2 linked regions of the Oryctolagus cuniculus genome follow. The main gene of each other region encodes a partner of the protein of the gene in region 2 in a complex. Links are inferred from orthologs where the notes say so. Each region holds a gene or a part of one and is shown on either strand. Other genes may lie near its edges.

What was found.
Region 1: PRKG1 (region 2) and CNN1 share a complex: the UniProt entries of both Homo sapiens proteins name them as parts of the cGMP kinase signaling complex. The link is inferred for Oryctolagus cuniculus from reciprocal best matches to the Homo sapiens genes PRKG1 and CNN1.

Annotation. Positions count from the first base shown.
Region 1 is NC_091447.1:66,347,659-66,356,755, forward strand, and holds the start of CNN1 (calponin-1), read right to left. Parts: upstream 4,827-9,097; 5' UTR 4,732-4,826; coding exon 4,669-4,731; intron 2,810-4,668; coding exon 2,688-2,809; intron 1,193-2,687; coding exon 1,126-1,192; intron 1,040-1,125; coding exon 902-1,039; intron 793-901; coding exon 682-792; intron 1-681. UniProt on the Homo sapiens protein: Thin filament-associated protein that is implicated in the regulation and modulation of smooth muscle contraction. It is capable of binding to actin, calmodulin and tropomyosin. The interaction of calponin with actin inhibits the actomyosin Mg-ATPase activity.
Region 2 is NC_091446.1:45,311,181-45,319,753, reverse strand, and holds part of PRKG1 (cGMP-dependent protein kinase 1), read right to left. Parts: intron 4,564-8,573; coding exon 4,424-4,563; intron 3,447-4,423; coding exon 3,357-3,446; intron 1-3,356. UniProt on the Homo sapiens protein: Serine/threonine protein kinase that acts as a key mediator of the nitric oxide (NO)/cGMP signaling pathway. GMP binding activates PRKG1, which phosphorylates serines and threonines on many cellular proteins.

The sequences.
Region 1 (9,097 bases), on a different chromosome or scaffold from region 2:
GCGAGGCCAGGAGGTGAGGACCAAAGGCACAGGGCCCAGCCCCGAGATTAATTCTTTAAATTTTATTTGAGAAGCAGAGAGAGAGAGAGAGATCTCCCCTCTGCTGGTTCATCCCACCCCTGTCCCCCCCCAATCACCACCACGCGCGATGCCTGCCACGGGGGCCAGCCTTGTGGTGCAGCGGGGTGAAGGTGCCGCCTGCCCCTCTGATCCAGCTCCCCACCGATGCGCCTGGGAGCAAAGCAGCAGTGCTGGGGCCCCTGCCACCCATGCGGGAGACCCGGATGCAGCCTGGCCCAGCCCCGGCCCTTGAGGGCATTTTGGGGGAGTGAACCAGCAGGTGGAGGACCTCGCCCTTGCCCTCTCCCACGTCACTCTGCCTTTCAAATAAATTAATTTGAAAAAATAAATAAATAAATAAAATGCTTGCAACAGGCAGAAGCCGGGACCCAGGTACCCACTCCGGGCCTCCCAGGTGGGCGGCAGGGAGGGACTTGAGCACTTGAGCCATCCCCCAGTGCCTCCCAGGATGCGCACTGGCAGGAAGCTGGGGTCAGGGGCAGAGCAGGGGACTCGAACCCAGGCCCTCCGGGCACCCCAGTGGGCATCTTCACCACCACGCCAGACGCCGGCCCCCCGGAGAGCGCCGCCGGCAGCAGGACCGGGAGGCAGCGGCTGTACCTGCAGCCCGATGATGTTCCGCCCTTCCCGAAGCTTCTCTGGCTCGAACTTGCGCTCCTGCTTCTCCGCGTACTTGACCCCCACGTTCACCTTGTTTCCTTTCGTCTTGGCCTGGGGCGAGAGGGGCAGGCGCAGGGCCGGGAGGTCCCCAGGCTGCACCCGCTGTCTCCCCCACACCCACACTGGGCTCAGCGGGCGTCCACCCGGCACCGACACTCACCATGCTGGCCAGGGCCAGCAGAGTGGACTGCACCTGGGTGTGGTTGGTGTTCTCGAACAGGTCGTTGGCCTCGAAGATGTCGTGGGGCTTCACCCCGTACTTGGTAATGGCCTTGATGAAGTTGCCAATGTTTTCCAGCTGGGGAGCGAGGAGGGGGGCGGTGGTCAGCGGGGCGGGGGCGGGGGCGGGGGCTGGGACGCGGAAGGGGCGGAGGAGGGGCCCACCTGGTGCCAGTTTTGGGTCGACTCGTTCACCTTCTTCACGGAGCCTGGCTGGAGTTTGTTGATGAACCTGGGGACGGGGGAGGGGAGTGAGCGGCGGCCCCCAGCGTCCACACCCATGGCCAGTCCAGCACGGAAGGGGCTCAAGCTGGCAGTCGCCTTCGTAGCTCTCAGGGCCCCCACCCCTGCCGCAAGTTACCCTATGCACCCCCACATAGGAAACATGGGGAACCAGCCGCGGCCTGTAGAGGGCGCTAGACTACGTCTCCTTATCGCAGTACATCCCAGTCCGCTGGCGGGGGCTGCCATGTCCCAGGGTCCTTGTAGTGGTGTGGACACAGCAGGGAGCCCCGAAGGGCCTCTCCTCTGACCACACTCATCCCTTCTTGATCTCGTCCAACCTGTGAAAGGCCACTGAGGCGCCCGAGTGCCCAGGATGTCCCTGCAGTCCGAGCCTCTCCCCTGGCACCTCCTCCCAGGCTTGTTTACTGTCCCCCTCCCCCCACCTTCCCCACAGCAGGTACCACTTCAGGCAGGTGTGTGAGTTTGATCAGTCAATTGACACCTCACACCCACCACCCCCCACCCCCCACCCCCGCCACACCACAAAAGCTCCCTGCAGGGACTTGTAAAACTTGTAGTGCCCGCATCCCCTGTGGGAGCCTGTTTGAATCCCGGCTGCTCCACTTCTGGTCCCGCTCTCTGCTGTGGCCTAGGAAAGCAGCAGAAGATGGCCCAAGTGCTTGGGCCCCTGCACCCACGTGGGAGACCTGGATGGAGCTCCTGGTTCCTGGCTTCAGATCTGCTCAGCTCTAGCCATTGTGGCCATCTTGGGAGTGAACTGGCGGATGGAAGACCTCTCTCTCCCTCTCTCTCTCTCTCTGCCTCTCTGTAACTTCGCCTTTGAAATAAAATAAATAAATCTTTGAAAAAAAAAAAAAAAAGCTCCTGTGTTCAGTGTCCCCAGGTACCAAGACCAGAGCCTGGCACACAACAGGTGCGCGTGATGCTTGATGCTTGTGGTGTGGACTTAGGGGCGGGGGCTGTGTGTCTGAGACCTGCACAGCCCCCCAGGCCCAAGTCACCAATGTGTCCTCCTTGGTCCTCATTCCCGGTGAACGGGGACGGACCAAGACGCACAGCCCCTGCCTTCCGTAAGCTTCCCAAGGACACGCTCTGGCCCTCATGGTCACCCTGCCCTGTGCAGATCGGGCCTGGCTGGGCTCAGGGGAGCCGCAAAGTCATGAGGGCCCACTGGTGACCCCGCGCGTTTTCGCGGTGACCTCCCTTTCTTGGGTCTCTGGAGGCCGTCGGGGGGATAGGCCCCAGGCAGCACAGCGGCTAAGTCTGCAGCTGTTCCCACTGGAATAGCGAGGCAATGTGTCAGCTGACCCAGCCTCAGTCTGCCTGGCCTGTTAAACGGGCACAATGATCCTTCGACTCCCCGAAGAACGCTCTCACACTGGATAGAAAGCGACTGGCTCAGCTCCAGGCGCAGTCACTTGTGGAGGGTTGGGGACAGCACAAGGCAGGCAGGGGCTGGGCCACGAGGGCCCCCCACTCACTCGCAGAGGATGATGCCGTCTTTGAGGCCGTCCATGAAGTTGTTCCCGATGCGGCGGCCCGTCACGCCCTCGATCCACTCCCGCAGCTCCTGCTCCCGCTGGTGGTCGTACTTCTGGGCCAGCTGGGGGTGGGGGACACAGGGCGGGCGGCGGGGGGAGTGGAGGCCTTGGCTCTGGGTGTCCAACCCAAGCCTCCCTCAGCCCCGGCTTTTCCTGACCAACTAAGGCGATTCTGCCCCCACGCCCAGGGAGGGGGGCGGGTGGGCTGGGGTGGCACCTGCCCAGGGGGCCATTCCGGGCATTCTGAGGTTTGGCACCGGAGGAGAGACAAAAGGGGGCAGGCGCCCAGAGCCAGGTCCTCGGAGCTGGGTTGGAGGGGGGGCGAGGAGGCGGCGCCTGGCCTCCTGGTTCCCCCTCCAGGCCAAACTTGGGGTTTAGCTTTCCCCTGGCCCTGCCCCTTTTCGCTCCCCCTGGTGGGAAGAGGGGGCACAGCAGACGGATGGGGAGGAGGGGAGCGCGGGAGGTGCCTGGTGCCGCCGGTTGACAGGGGACTGCTCTGTCTTACATCTCTGGCTGGCTGTCTCTCACTGTCCCCCACCACCCCCACCAAGATCCTGGCCCCTGGGACTGCGTCCCGGGCGAGGGGGGTGGGGGCATCTTCTTGCCTTTGGCTGTTGACCCACTGGGCATCCGTCAGTCTGTCCGTCCGTCTGGCTGGCTCTCTCTCCCCCAGCTGCGTCAGTCTCCCCCCCACCCCCCCCCCCGTCTCCATCACGCTGGGGGTGGGGCTCCAGCATCTCTGTCCCTGTAGGCCCCCCTCTCCCGCCTTAACTCCAGCTTCCTGGCATCCCCTGAGGGTGGGGCAGGTCTGGGTGCCAGCCGGTGCCCCTGCATCCCTGTCCCCGTCTCATCCCGCGCCCCGCCCGCCCCTCCATCCGAGCCTCCAGCTCCCGGCATCTCTGTCTCCACCTCCCGTTTATCCAGAACGTTCTGCTCTGGGGACAGGGGGCATCCAGCTGCCCCTTCTCCAGGCTGGACGGGGAGCCGGGGGAGGGAGCGGCCCCCTCACCTGGCCCCGGCCCTGCCGCCCCCCTCCCCACCAGCCCAGCTTTATAAAGCAAACCGGCCCTTATATAGCGTGGCCGGACTCCCAAGGCCGCCTTATATGGCTTGGCGGCTCCGCGAGGCTCTGGGGCCGGCACTGGGAGGGGGGGAGGAGGGGGGTGGCGCTGGGATCTGTCTGCAGCCCAAGCATCCGCCCCCTCCGCCAGCCCCAACGAGACCCACCGACCTAGGTACCAATCCCAGCTCCCGGGTTCCTCGCTGCGGGACCCTGGGGAAGAGCCACCCTGACCCTCAGTGTTCCTCTCTGTGAAATGGGGCTGGGGGGCGGGGACGATTGCAGCGGGGTGGGGAATTCGGGGTCTCTGCCCTGGAGACTCCGGCTCTAGCAGTGCACCTGCCCGACCTTGGCCGCTAGCTGTTTGTTCATCCTCAGAGGCTCCGTGTACCCATCCCTAGCATGACAGTGGTGGCATCACAGCGTGTTCTCACCTCTGCACTTGGGAGCCCTCCGCCCTCCGCCCCCCACCCCCAGCCGTGTCCCTCTCCCCTCAGGTGGCCTCGCTGGGAGCCTGGCCTCTCCAGTGCTCCCCAATTTCTTGGTCCAACTGGGGGGGGGTGTGGAAAAATCAACAGGCCTCCCCCTTCCAACCCCATCGGGGCACCCAGGTTTCACACAGGCCTCCCATCCACGGTGGGACGCACACCTCTGTTTCGGGGTGACTGTGGGCCCCCCGCTGTGCTCCTCCTGATAACAGCTGAGGGTTCTGGGGTGCTGACAAGGAGGAGAGAGGCAGCCCCCACCCCTACCCCAAGCCTCTGCCCCTTCCCCTCTCAGGTTCCGGATCACATGGGGCAGGCGGGGGGGTGGGGGGACGCAGGGCACGTGGGCCAGGCCAGGGAGGCCCTGCAGCCCTACCTTGTTCTTGACCTCGGCCGACAGCCCGTAGGCGGGCCCTCGGTTGAAGTGAGCAGAGGACATGGCAGCGGGTGGGCTCTGGCTGGGCGCAGCCTGGACGCCGAGGAGCGGGGGCGGCGGCAGCTGAGGCTCCGTCTGCACCCTCTCCGCTCCTCACAGGTTTTTGAAGCTCCGGAGGCGGCCCGGGTCTCTTCCAAGGCCGTCCCATTGGCCGCAGGGGCTGGCAAGGGGGCGGGGCGGGGCGCCTCCCCCCCCCCCCCGCCGCGGCCACCCCCCTCCCTCGTGATGTCAGGGGCTTGGTATTGGGAGCTGACTATGTCATTGTTTCCACCTCGAGGGGCAGCCTGCGTTATTCCGGGTGTGTGTGTGGGGGGGTCCTGGCCAGAGAGACCAGCTTTCCTCCACCGCTGCCCCCACTGCACCCCCCCACACCTGCCCTGGGGCCCGGTCTCCAAGTCTCTGTATCCGAGGTCATCTTTGGGGCTTGAGGCAAGACCGCCACCCATGCTGACATAGCAAGCAGCCCCCTCATTTCAGACACCAACAGTCGTGCCTCAGTCAAATCCTTTGACCTCTCGGGCCTCCACTGCTGTGTCTGTGAAATGGGTTCATGGGGGGTGTTGTGAAAAGCAGGCGGCACGGTGTCCCTGCAGTGTCCCCAGCGCAGCGCCCGGCACGGGCAGTGGCTCAGGCAGGAGCATTACTCTGTAGCAGGTCCAGCAGCCCAGGTCCGGCTCCTCCTAAGGACCTGGGGGAGCAGACATCTTGGCTCTTGCCCCCTCCATGCACCTGTGCTCACCTGAGCCACCGAGTGTTTCTATTAGCAGGTCCCTGGCCACAAGCGCCCCCGCGGAGCGCTGTCCCCGAGTCTCATCTTGTACCACGGGGGTAACGCTGCACCCACACCGCACCCCCCACGCCAAGGCCATGCCAGGGGCAGCTGGACGTCAACAACCTGCCACACGCTCCTGACATGCCAAGGCCACAGCCCCCGCCCCCAAGTCCACACCACAAGCATCACGCGCACCTGTTGTGTGCCAGGCTCTGGTCTTGGTACCTGGGGACACGGAACACAGGAGCTTTTATTTTTTTTTCCAAAGATTTATTTATTTTATTTGAAAGGCGAAGTTACAGAGAGGCAGAAAGAGAGAGAGAGAGAGAGAGAGAGAGAGAGAGAGAGGTCTTCCATCCGCCAGTTCACTCCCAAGATGGCCACAATGGCTGGAGCTTCGCAGATGTGAAGCCAGGAGCCAGGAGCTCCATCCGGGTCTCCCACATGGGCCATCAGACCCTCTTCTAAAAAATACTTATTGATTCGAAAGACAGGGTGATGGGGGCGGGGCAGGGGAGAGGAAGAGACAGACAGACAGACAGTCAGAGGTATCTTCCATTGGTTGGTTCACTCCCCAGATGCCCACAACAGCCAGGGCTGGGCCAGGCCAAAGCCAGGAGCCTGGAGCTCCACCCAGGTCTCCCACTTGGGGTGGCAGGTGCCCGAGAACTTGAGCCCACACCTGCTGCCCCCCCCCTGGGTGCACATGCGCAGGGAGCTGGATCGGAAGCGGAGCAGCCGGGACAGGAACTGGGGCTTCCGAGATGGGGACGCAGGTGCACAAAACCCACACCCTGAAATCAGACCTTGTCCTACCCACTCAGTCCTGAGATGGATGCCGTAATTACACGCACTTTACAGAAGGGGAAACTGAGGCACGGGGCCACCCAGCTGCCCCAGGGTAAAGTTGGGTTTCTCAAACTTGGGCATTGTTGGGAGTCGAGGCTGGGGGCTGTCTGTCCTGGGTGCCACGGGCCGTCCAGAAGCTTCCCTTGGGTGCTGGGATTGTGGCAAAATGGGTTAAAGTACTTCTTGCGACACCAGCATCACGTCTCACAGTTTTGAGTCCCGGCCGCTCCACTTCTGATCCAGCTCCCTGCTAACACAGCCGGGAGAGCAGCAGGCGATGGCCCCGGCGCCTCAGTGCCTGCCTCCCACCCCCTGGGAGACCCAGCTGGAGCTCCCGGCTCCTGGCGTCCCCTCACCCAGTGCCGGTGGTGGTGGCTGTGGGCAGTGAACCAGCGCATGGAAGATCAATCTGTGTAACGCTGCCTTTCCCGTCAGCACTCCCTTTAGACTTTTAGTTACGACAGGGAGAGGGAGAGACAGAGAGAGAGAGATCTTCCTTATGCTGGTTCACTCCCCAAATGGCCTCAACGGCTGGAGCTGCCTCAACCTGGTGCCAGGAGCCAGGGGCTTCCTCCAGGTCTCCCCGCGGGTGCAGGGGCCCAAGGACTTGAGCCATCTTCCACTGCTTTCCCAGGCCACAGCAGAGAGCTGGATGGGAAGAGGAGCAGCCGGGACTAGAACTGGCGCCCCTGTGGGATGCTGGCATCACAGGCGGGCTAATCCTTTAGTCGTGACAAACAGAAATATCCACAGATATTGCTAAATGTCCCAGGCGATGGGAAGTAGCTGGAAGCCCCTGGGTTAAGCCAGTGTGCCAAGGACCAGTTGATGGTGGGTCACGATGGATTCAAGATACAGTGAAATACACAAAATGAGTTCAAAATGCGCACTCGGGATATACTAAGTGCCCTGGATCTGTTAACTCACGCTTCCCAGCAGCCCCGGGAGGTGAGCGTCTGCGCGTCACACAGAAGTGACAGCCGACTGTGCAGGCGGCACAAACTGGAAGGCGGCGGAGCCGGGATTCGAACACGCAGCCCCAGCCCAGCGCCACAGGTCTCTCCTGCGCATGCGAGGACCCGCGCCTGCGCCCAGCCCGCGGCCGGCGCCCCCTGGTGGCCGGGCCGGGGCGGGGCCGGGGCCGGGGCGGGGCCGGGGGCGGGGCCGGGCCGGGCCGGGGGCGGGGCCTGGCGGGCTCGGGCGGCGGTGACGCCAGCGCTGACTCACGGGGCCCCGAGCTCGGGCCGGCCGCCGCTTGGCCATTTATAGCATCCGCGCCGGCTCTGAAGTCACGGCCAAGGCACGACGGGGGCGGGCAGGGGAGCTTGGGGCGCGCCCCCGCCCGATGGGGCAGCCGGGCGTCCCCCGAGGGGGTGGCGCTTTGTGGGTTTGTCTGATTCCTGGGATGCCGGCTCTGGGATGCTGCCATGGGGAAAAGTGGGCGCCCCTCCCCCGAACCCTGAGAGGACCCCCTGAATCCTGATGCTCAGAAAAGATACCCAAGCCCACCTCGACCTGAGGATCCTGGGGAGAGACTGGACCCCGCCCCCGCCCCTCCCCATTCTGCACCTGCCTCCTGGCCTGTCATCCCTAATGGCTTGTTCCAGGGCTGCTCCCTCCATACCCGGGTTTGCACGAAGCACAGATAATCTGTTAATCTCCCAGGGAGAAACTCCTAAGAGGCCAAGCCGCTCCCCCTGCTTGGTGCTGTTTCTGGAGTTCTCAAAACCCTGCACTACCAGCTTAAAAAAAAAATTTTTTTAAGAGGCAGAATGATAGAGAGACTTCCATCTGCCGGCTCATTCCCCAAATGGCTGTCTCTGAGCTGGACCAAGGCTGAAGCCAGGAGCCCAACGCTCCATCCGGGTCTCCCACGTGGGTGCAGGGGCCCTAGCACCCCAGCTATCCTGCCCTGCCTCACCCGGGCGCATCAGCAGGGAGCTGGACAGGAAGTGGAGCAGCTGGGGCTTGAACCGATGATGGGATGCCGGCGTGGAAGGGGGCAGCTTAGCTCACTGAGCCCTAAGGCCAGCCCCACACTGGCAGTGTTTGTTTTGTTTTAAATGTTTGTTTGAAAGAGCTAGAGAGAGAGAGAGAGAGAGAGAGAGAGAGAGAGAGAGATCTCATTTGCTGGTTCACTTCCCAGATGGCTGCAACCGCCGGAGCTGGGCCAGACTGAAGCCAGGAGCTTCTCCCAGGCCTCCCACACGGGTGCAGGGGCCCAAGCACCTGGGCCATCTTCCACGGTTTTGCCAGGCCACAGCAGGGAGCTGCCGGGACTCGAACCAGCGCCCATGAGGGATGCTGGCACCACAGGCAGCAGCTTTGCCAGCTGCATCGCAGCGCCGGCTCCAGGCCAGCGGCTCTGAACCACATTTCGGCAAGATCTGCCTGTGGGGCCTCCGTCTCTCGCTTCCTACGGCCGCTGTTGAAACGCCACCTCTGCCGAGCAGCCCTCCCTGACCACCTGTCTCAGGACGCTGGCATCCCCCACCCCTACAGTGAGGGACCAGGTAGACGCCAGGAACTCAACCCAGGGCTCCCACGTGGCTGGCAGGGACCCCAGCACCCATGACATCACTGCTGCCCCCCGGGGAGCAGGACGCTGGAGCGAAGCCAGACTCGACCCAGGCACTGCAGTGTGGGTGCAGGCGTCCCACACGCTCACCCCTAAAAAGGAGGATTGAACAAGGAGCCCCCGCCAGTCTCTCTCCACCTTCCTTTCCCCACAGCCCTGACAGTGCCCGT
Region 2 (8,573 bases):
CAAGTTAGGGAGGAAAAATGAATTACAACAGATACATATACACACACATTCATATATACTCTTACAATGTTACCAACTTATCCCAAATAAAGGGCCAGGGCTTTTGGAAGACAGAAGTCACAAGCTGGAATATAAAACATGACAGCTAATAAGGAATAAATCAGAGAAAAAAGGACAACTATGCTGATGCTTTAGGTCATGGCTTAAAGACAGGAAAATGTTTAATCATTTTCAAATTATGTTTTTATAAAGCTGCTCTCTTTTTAATTCGTACTTCCTGACAACGAATCGAGGGCTGCCTTGGGTTCCCTTCCCATGCCGGTGAGCAAAGAGAGAGGCAGGGAGTGATGGTCCCAGCCCAAAGGCGACAGGAGGGGCAGGCCTGAGCTGCTCTCAGGGACTTCCCGTGCTAAGTCTCTAAGGCTCAGAGGTATTTCCATGTCAGTCAAGAAGAAAGCCACACAAGCCTTCTCCAAATAAATCCCAACACATTTCCTGTGTGCTTTCAGAACAGCTTCTCCTACACTGCCTTGCTACTCAGGCACAAAAGGAAAACTGAATAATTTTTTACTGTACACATGTTCATTTACACTATAATTAAGCATAATAACATTATCCTTCCCTTGGCATTTTTTCAGTTCGCTTCTAACAGTTTTGAAGATTTTTTTAGCTCTAATTGAAACAAACAGAAAACTAGTCAGTGGCAATAGTAATTGGAGCCTGGATATCCAAAATGATGCTTTTCCACCAACAATTTCTTGAGGAGGAAAAAAGAAAAATCACAGAAAATAAAAGCAGTAAATCTGCATGTATACATAAAGTTGGCAAGGGACAAGGATCTAATAGTTTCATTGCTTTCTTTCTAAGTTTATTTTATTTGAAAGGCAGACAGATACTTCCTAACCGTTTGTTCCCAAAATGGCTGCAACCATTGGGGTTACACCAGGCCAAAGAGAGGAGCCAGGAACCTCATTTGGGTCTCCCACAAGTACTTAACCCATCACCTCCTGCCTCCCTTTGTAGGCATTAAAACAAAGTTGGAATCAGGAGTGAATCAGGCTTGAACCCCAGAAACCCTGAGGTGGGATGGAGGCATCCCAGGCTGCATCGTAACTGCTGCACCACACACCCACCCTGGTTTCACTGCTTTTAATGTTGGGGCTTCAGCACCTCAATTTTTAGGAAGAAACAAGTAGCCACTACTTCTCCGGACCACGCTTCTTTATGGGGTTAGGTATCTTGGAGGAAACTCAGCGATGGTGTATCCCAAACTTGAGGATGCTAAGAGGGAGAAAAATGCTAAGGGAAGGATCAAGGTAGAAAAATCAACGTCCACTGATATGTTCCCTTCATCTGCTGCTCCCAAAGCAAGTTGCTTCCAAATAGCCACCTGTTACTACCCTGCCAAATCAAAATGGAAGGTGCTCAGAAGCCTTGCCTGGCACTAAGGAACACAGAGCATAAAATCAAGTTAAATGGGGAAAATAGGAGATAATATTTACTTCCAAAAATTACTTGAATACTAATGTGTGAGCATACGTAATGCATTATGAGTGGACTTTAGAATGAGTTTTATCATTACTGTCTTCTGGTTAAGAAAGGTAATAGTAGTTGATTGGAGTTTTCATCTTTAATTTTGCTGTGTATTTCTTCCTATTCTAATCAGAGAAAAGTATTAAGGAGATTTCAAATCAACCACTGGAACAAAATGTCAGGTCAAAAATAAAATAGTACAGGGTGGGCAGTTGGCACAGTAGACAAGATGCCACTTGGAATGCCTGCATCTCATAGTGGAATGCATGGGGTCAAGTCCTGGCTTGGTTCCCATTTCCAGCTTCCTGCAAATGCACTAACTGGGAGCAGGTGATGGCTCAACTAGCTGGGTCACTGCCACCCATGAGAGACCTGGACTGAGCTCCTGCCTTCTGGTTTCCGCCTGGCTCAGCCCTGGCTATTGTGGGTATTTGGGGAATGAACCAGTTCACTCTCTTCACCTTTCAAATAAATAAAAACGTAGTAATCTAAAAAAAGCTGAACCACATTAGGATATGTCACTTATTACTTTACAAATCAGTAAATTAACTTTGTGTAGTAGGTTATAAATTCAAAGGAGGGGACCACATCTGTTTTACTTATCCCAGAATCTCCAGGTTCTATCAGAATGGTTGGTATATAATCTATACTCAAATACCCACTAACAATAATAGAATGATGTGCTATGAAATAATAATTTAGTACAGATGGTAATGCTTCTCTCTAACGTGAACATGATGCATTCTTTTGTATGTTTTTATCTTAAATGTGACAAAATATTAATGTAATATGATAAAATATCATAAAGAGAAATCCATTTGACCTATATGTAGAGATTTCAGAATGTTCATGGAACAAGCATATTACGAAAAAACTGCATGGATTTCCCCAAAAAACTGCATTAAAATAAACTTATCTGTTAAGCCTATTTTCCCTCTTATAAGTTAAAAACAGGGGAATAAAAGATCAGAAAGGGCATGTTGTACAAAATATCAGGGTACCTTAAAAACATTAGTAACATCATTTCATTTAGATTAATCCTTTATAAAGAGCCACTTGTTCTATTCTGGGACATCAACAAAGTAACAAGTGTCAAGCATTACAAGGCTTCTGGGAACACCAAGGCTATGTACAGCTGGGTTTCAGGAAGATGTTACACAACAAAGGAGAATCTAGGGGGCAGGGCTGGAACAAACAAGACATCTGTAGATGTCTAAAGGTGAATATTCAAAACACGACTTTGGAATCATCAGTGGTTCATTCAAAGGAAGTAATCACAAGATTTCCCACAGGAATATAAAATTATGTCCTTTTTCTTTAAAAAGTAAACACTTAAGATAGATAATAATCTCCTAAAATTTCCTATAGAATAACCTTTAAAAAGATGATTTTCTAGTTATATAAACATAGGATGAAAAATTGAGACACAATGAATTTTCATAATTAAAAATTAAGCCACCATTATCTAGACAAACTTTACTTTCTCTGGAAGGGTAGAAAAGTAAATCTAAATGAGATTGTTTATATGAAATACTGCTTCTAAGTGGGCTCATGTTTTCCTAAGACCAGCTAAGGGCTAAAATAGATGGCTGAAAACAGGTTAATTTTGAAACCAAAGATTAAGGTAGAGGCTCAGGAAAAAGTTACCAAGTGAGTTTTATAGTAAATTATACATGGATAGTGACCCTGTTCACATTAAGAAATATAAGCATCCATAAAGTATAAATATGATTTTCATGCTTTATAATAATTGGCTCTCCTTACAGACCATCATGGGGAATTACATTTTAGAGACACTCTGTGAAATTTCTGAAATATCTTACCTATCCCTGAGAATGGTCCAGAGCTCTCCTCCTAGGCAAGCTTCCATCAACATATACAAATATTTGCTGTCCTTAAATGTTCTGTAGAGTCTGTAAATTGCAAACAAGAAAACCAGTATTAGAAGTATTAGTGTCTTTTAAAAGGATAAAGATTTTTGAGTGCCCAGATGATATTCTTTGATTTGCAAGCTGAAAGTTTTATCGGAATGAGAGAGACCTAGCCCAAAGGCTAGTGAATAACATTTATAAACCACTGAGGCTGATCTTTCCCTTGAAACGGGTTCATCCACATGACCTTCTTCCTATGACCTTCTCAATTCCGATTTGGCTGGTATGTTGAGCATGGACTCTCAAGCAACATTTTTATCGTCATAAATGTGCAGTGCAAATGACATAAAGTAGATTAAAGTTTACAATTATGGACACATGAAATTCAAGAAGTGGTCACTTAAATTCACGTTAGATCCTGTTGTCAGCAAGTGCCACTGGGGCATGATCCAGGGGATGGAAGGTCTCACTTCCTGTCTCTTCCTCTGACTCTGCCTGCCTTTCAAAGAAATAAATACATCCTAAAAAAGAATCAATCATTTTTTAAAGTAAACTTCTTTCAGATTAGATGGAAAAGTAAGTTTCTTTCTGTGAGCACAATGTGTTAAGAGTGAGCTGACTAGGCTAATCCTCCGCCTTGCGGCGCCGGCACACCGGGTTCTAGTCCCGGTCGGGGCGCCGGATTCTGTCCCGGTTGCCCCTCTTCCAGGCCAGCTCTCTGCTGTGGCCCGGGAGTGCAGTGGAGGATGGCCCAGGTGCTTGGGCCCTGCACCCCATGGGAGACCAGGAGAAGCACCTGGCTCCTGCCATCGGATCAGCGCGATGTGCCGGCCGCAGCACGCCGACCGTGGCGGCCATTGGAGGGTGAACCAATGGAAAAGGAAGACCTTTCTCTCTGTCTCTCTCTCTCACTGTCCACTCTGCCTGTCAAAAAATAAAAAAAAAATAAAATAAATAAAGAGTGAGCCGAAGAGGCGGAGGCCGCTGGGGTCATTCGCCTCCAGGGGCAGGGCCTTTACCTCACGATGAAGTCGGAATGCGCGCCCTGCATGATTTGCTTCTCCGAGCGAATGTGTTCCTGCTGTCTCGTGTCCACTATGTGGCGCTTCTTGAGAATCTTCATTGCAAATGTTTTGGATTCTTCACTCTTCAACTGGACCTTCAGGACAGACAGACAGGACAACTGAGAAAAGCCCACAGCTTGAATGGCACAGTGTGCACTGTTATTACCTCCAGATTCACAGGTGCAGGGAAAACCCCAGTGAATTGCAGCAATCGCCTAAGTGCCCCCCACAGTAAACCCTTGCTAGACCTGAGTTCAAAATCCAGAGCCCACAGCTATCATTCAATCTCCCTCCACGGAAAGGGATGCATTTTACCTATCTGGATTCCAAATTAATATGTCTACGTGGAGTAGAAGAAGGAAAATACACTTGATTCTCAATGTACTGCTTCATTTCAAATAATGTGTTTGAGTATATTTTCCATTACTGTCCTTTAATCGAAACAGTAGAAATGAACACTAATGTCTTTTCCACTTTTACTTCAAATGTGCGGGGCAAAAGTGGGATCCTAGTCCGTACACGTTTCTAGAGCTAACTCCAGTGACTGATCCTATCCCTGTCCTAGGAGACTGCTGACCTGTCTCCTGCTAATTCTTCTCTTTTTCCCTAGCACTCTTTCCCCTCTTTCCAGTTAAAAAGAGACCATTGTCACCAGATTTCGTTTTGGAGAGATTTTGAAACTTGTTTTCTCTCCTCAAGCATGTATGATGGTTTTAATCCCCTTTGATCTCAAACCTTACATTAACTGGGGAGCCCTAGAAGCACCCATGCTGTTTTGGCAGCCCAGGTGGCCTCCAGCGGCTCTGGAGGAGGCTTGAGTCCTCCCTAGTGCCATACTTCAGACAGGCTGCTGCTCTGTGTTCACACGGACGAGAAATTCCAACAGGACGACTTGTAAGGAAACACTAAACACTTAACTTCCATATAAGGGCACTAGCATCTAGTGCTCTCCAACAGCAATACCCTCAAGACACTATCCAATAGCTCACGTTATTGGGAACTAACGGAAACTTTGGGGAAGTAACATGGCGAGCTGTTCTTGTTTTTCAGCTGAAGTGTAATGGTCCCCTCTTCAGGTGTGAGTGACGTCCTGCCTCATTTGCAGGCATAGCAGAGTTCTTAAGTGTTTTGTTCATGCACACGCGTACAGATTCAAGTTGATCTGAGAGGGCACTAATGGGCCAAGTTCGTCCGGAGGGAGCATGAGGACCCTTCCAATAAATGAGTCCTGGTCTGCTGCCAGTGTTTGTGAAGCCGCCTGACAGCTGAGAAGGGAAATAGATAATTTGAAAATGCCTTTAACCGCCGAAGGCCCTCTACTGCGTGAAATGCTTTCTTTTAAGATGACAGATGAGTGTGATACAAATGAATTCAGTGTAGTTCACGATAAAAACAAAATATATGAAAACTCCCTGCTAAAAGAAATCTCAATAGATAGGGAAGATGCCGTGAAAATGAGCCACGTCAGTGTCAGTCCTAAAATGCAGAGGGAAAGGAGTAAAGTCTTCCTCTGTTCGTTGCCTTACCTCGGATGTAGTTCAGAGGCCTAAGGTAAGAATTAATCTCTTTAGGGATGAAAACAGATCTTTGACTTGTGCGCAGGTTAGAAGAAGAGAACTCAGCCTTTACATTCACGGAGTGGGACTTGAATTCCAACTCTGCTTAAGCAGGTTGCCTAAGAAGCTGAGAGAGACCAAGCGCTCTGAGCCCTAGTTCTTGCTGAGGGTAACATCAGTGACTGCACTGAGTGACTGCGATCTTAAATGAGAGTGTGCCACTGAACGGGCATTTAGTTATAATTTCCCACCTTGTACTGTCGCCCTGCCCAGAAACCTTTACCCAGTAGGATGAAGCATAAAATTCTCTTTCAGAGGAGCCAAAATGCTTACCTATAAACATTTGAACAAATGTTTTGACCCAAGCCACTCACAGCAGCTTATGCTGTGTCCCTTCAGTTGAATTTTTTTTAAGATTTATTTTTATTTATTTGAAAGACAGAGTTACATAGAGAGGTAGAGCCAAAGAGAGAGGTCTTCCATCCAATGGTTCACTCCCCAGATGGCTGCAATGGCCAGAGCTGTGCCAATCTAAAGCCAGGAGGCAGGATCTTCTGGTGCAGGGGCACAAGGACTTGGGCATTTTCCACTGCTTTCCCAAGCCACAGGAGAGCTGGATCAGAAGTGGAGCGGCCGGGTCTCGAACCAGCGGCCATATGGGATGCCAGTGCTTCAGGCCAGGGTGTTAACCCGCTACGCCACAGCTCCTTTTAGTTGAATTTCAAACAAAAGCACAGGCACCAGTGTTTGACACAGAGGTTAAGGTGCCAGTTGGGACTCCTATGTCCCATAATGGGGTGCTGGATTTGAGCCCTGGCTCCACTCCTGATTCCAGCTTCCTGCTGATCCAGGCTCTGGGAGGCAGCAAGGTCTCTAATAGTTGGGTTCTTGGCACCTGCACAGGAGACCTGGATTGAGTTCCCTGCTGCTGGGCATTTAGGAAGTAAATTGTCGTCTGTCTGTCTCTCCCTGCCACTCAAATAAGTTCATGTTCAGTATAAAAGGAAGCTGATGAAAGAGAAGAGAAATGCACATTTTCTTCTGCCCAGGAATCCTTGCTAGCCCAGCAGGTTTGGAGCAAGCTTCAGGCCAAAGATTTGTCTCCCTCTGCAGGCTATCCCAGCATTCTAGGTGCACAAATGCACAGGATGAGAGTGTGACTGATCTGCAATTTGAATGCCTTTGTTTATATCTGAGCCATTTTCAGGCTTGTGATCTTGGTCAAGTTCTCCAAACTTTCTTTGCTATGTTTCCTCATCTGTAATATGGGCATGATCCTTATACATTAAAAAGATGAAATAAAAGTGGTTATTGTGTGCAATAACCACTCAGTCAGTGTTAGCTTCTTTTGTCCATATGTGCTTAGTTTAATGGTCTCTTCAGGCCGAGCACAATTTTCAAAATATGACTCACCAGAAACTGAATGTCGCTTTCTACCACTCCTGTCTCCACCCCACACTATCTCAGTGCCACTAAGAAGTAAAGGTTTGAGGAGCTACTTCTAAAAGACTGTTGTTGACACTTGCACCACAATGGTTTTCCTCTCCATATTCCTAGAAAGGAAAAACAAATGAAAAAATGCTAATTCTCAAGATCTTTTTGCCACGGGGCCAGCGCTGTGGCGGACCGGGTAAAGCTGCTGCCTACAGTGCTGGCATCCCATACGGGAGCCAGTTTGAGTCCCAGCTGCTCCACCTCCAATCCAGCTCTCTGCTGTGGCCTGGCAAAGCAGTAGAAGATGGCCCAAGTCCTTGGGCCCCTGCACCCACGTGGGAGACCTGGAACAAGCTCTTGGCTCCTGACTTTGGATTGGTGCAGCTCCAGCCACTGCAGCCAATTGGGGAGTGAACCAGCGGATGGAAGACCCCCCCACACACACTCTGCCTGTCCTCTCTCTGTGTAACTTTGACTTTCAAATAAATAAATAAATCTAAAAAATAAGATATTCTTTTCACAAAGAATACTGTGTGGGTTAAAATTAGAATTAGTAAAAGTTTCATTTACACTTAAATATTATTTCCATGCAAGGTGTTATATGGACATTTGGGTGACTGTATACATGGACAAAGTGAATTGGGAATTTCTTTTTTTTTAAGGTTATTTATTTATTTATGAGGTACAGCTACATACAGAGGGAGAGACAGAGATTTTCCGTCCACTGGATTAGTCCCTGAATGGCCATAATGGCTGCAGTTGGGCCAATCTGAAGCCAGGAGCTTCTTTCAGGTCTCCCAAGCAGGTACAGGGGCTCAAGTACTTAGATCGTCTTCTACTGCTTTCCCAGGCCACAGCAGAGAGCCGGATCAGGAGTGGAGCAGCTGGGACTCGAACCGGCGCCCATATGGGATGCCGGCGCTGCAGGCAAAGGCTTTACCCACTACACCACAGCGCCAGCACAGAGGTGGGAATTTCTGACATGGATGTTAAGTCAGGCTGCATGTAATGCTCAGATAACACTACCCTGAAGATGACAGGCAATGTCATCAGCATTCGAAAGCACTCTGAAGACACATTTGCTGGCCACATTTAAATACATGCCTTTTCTTAAA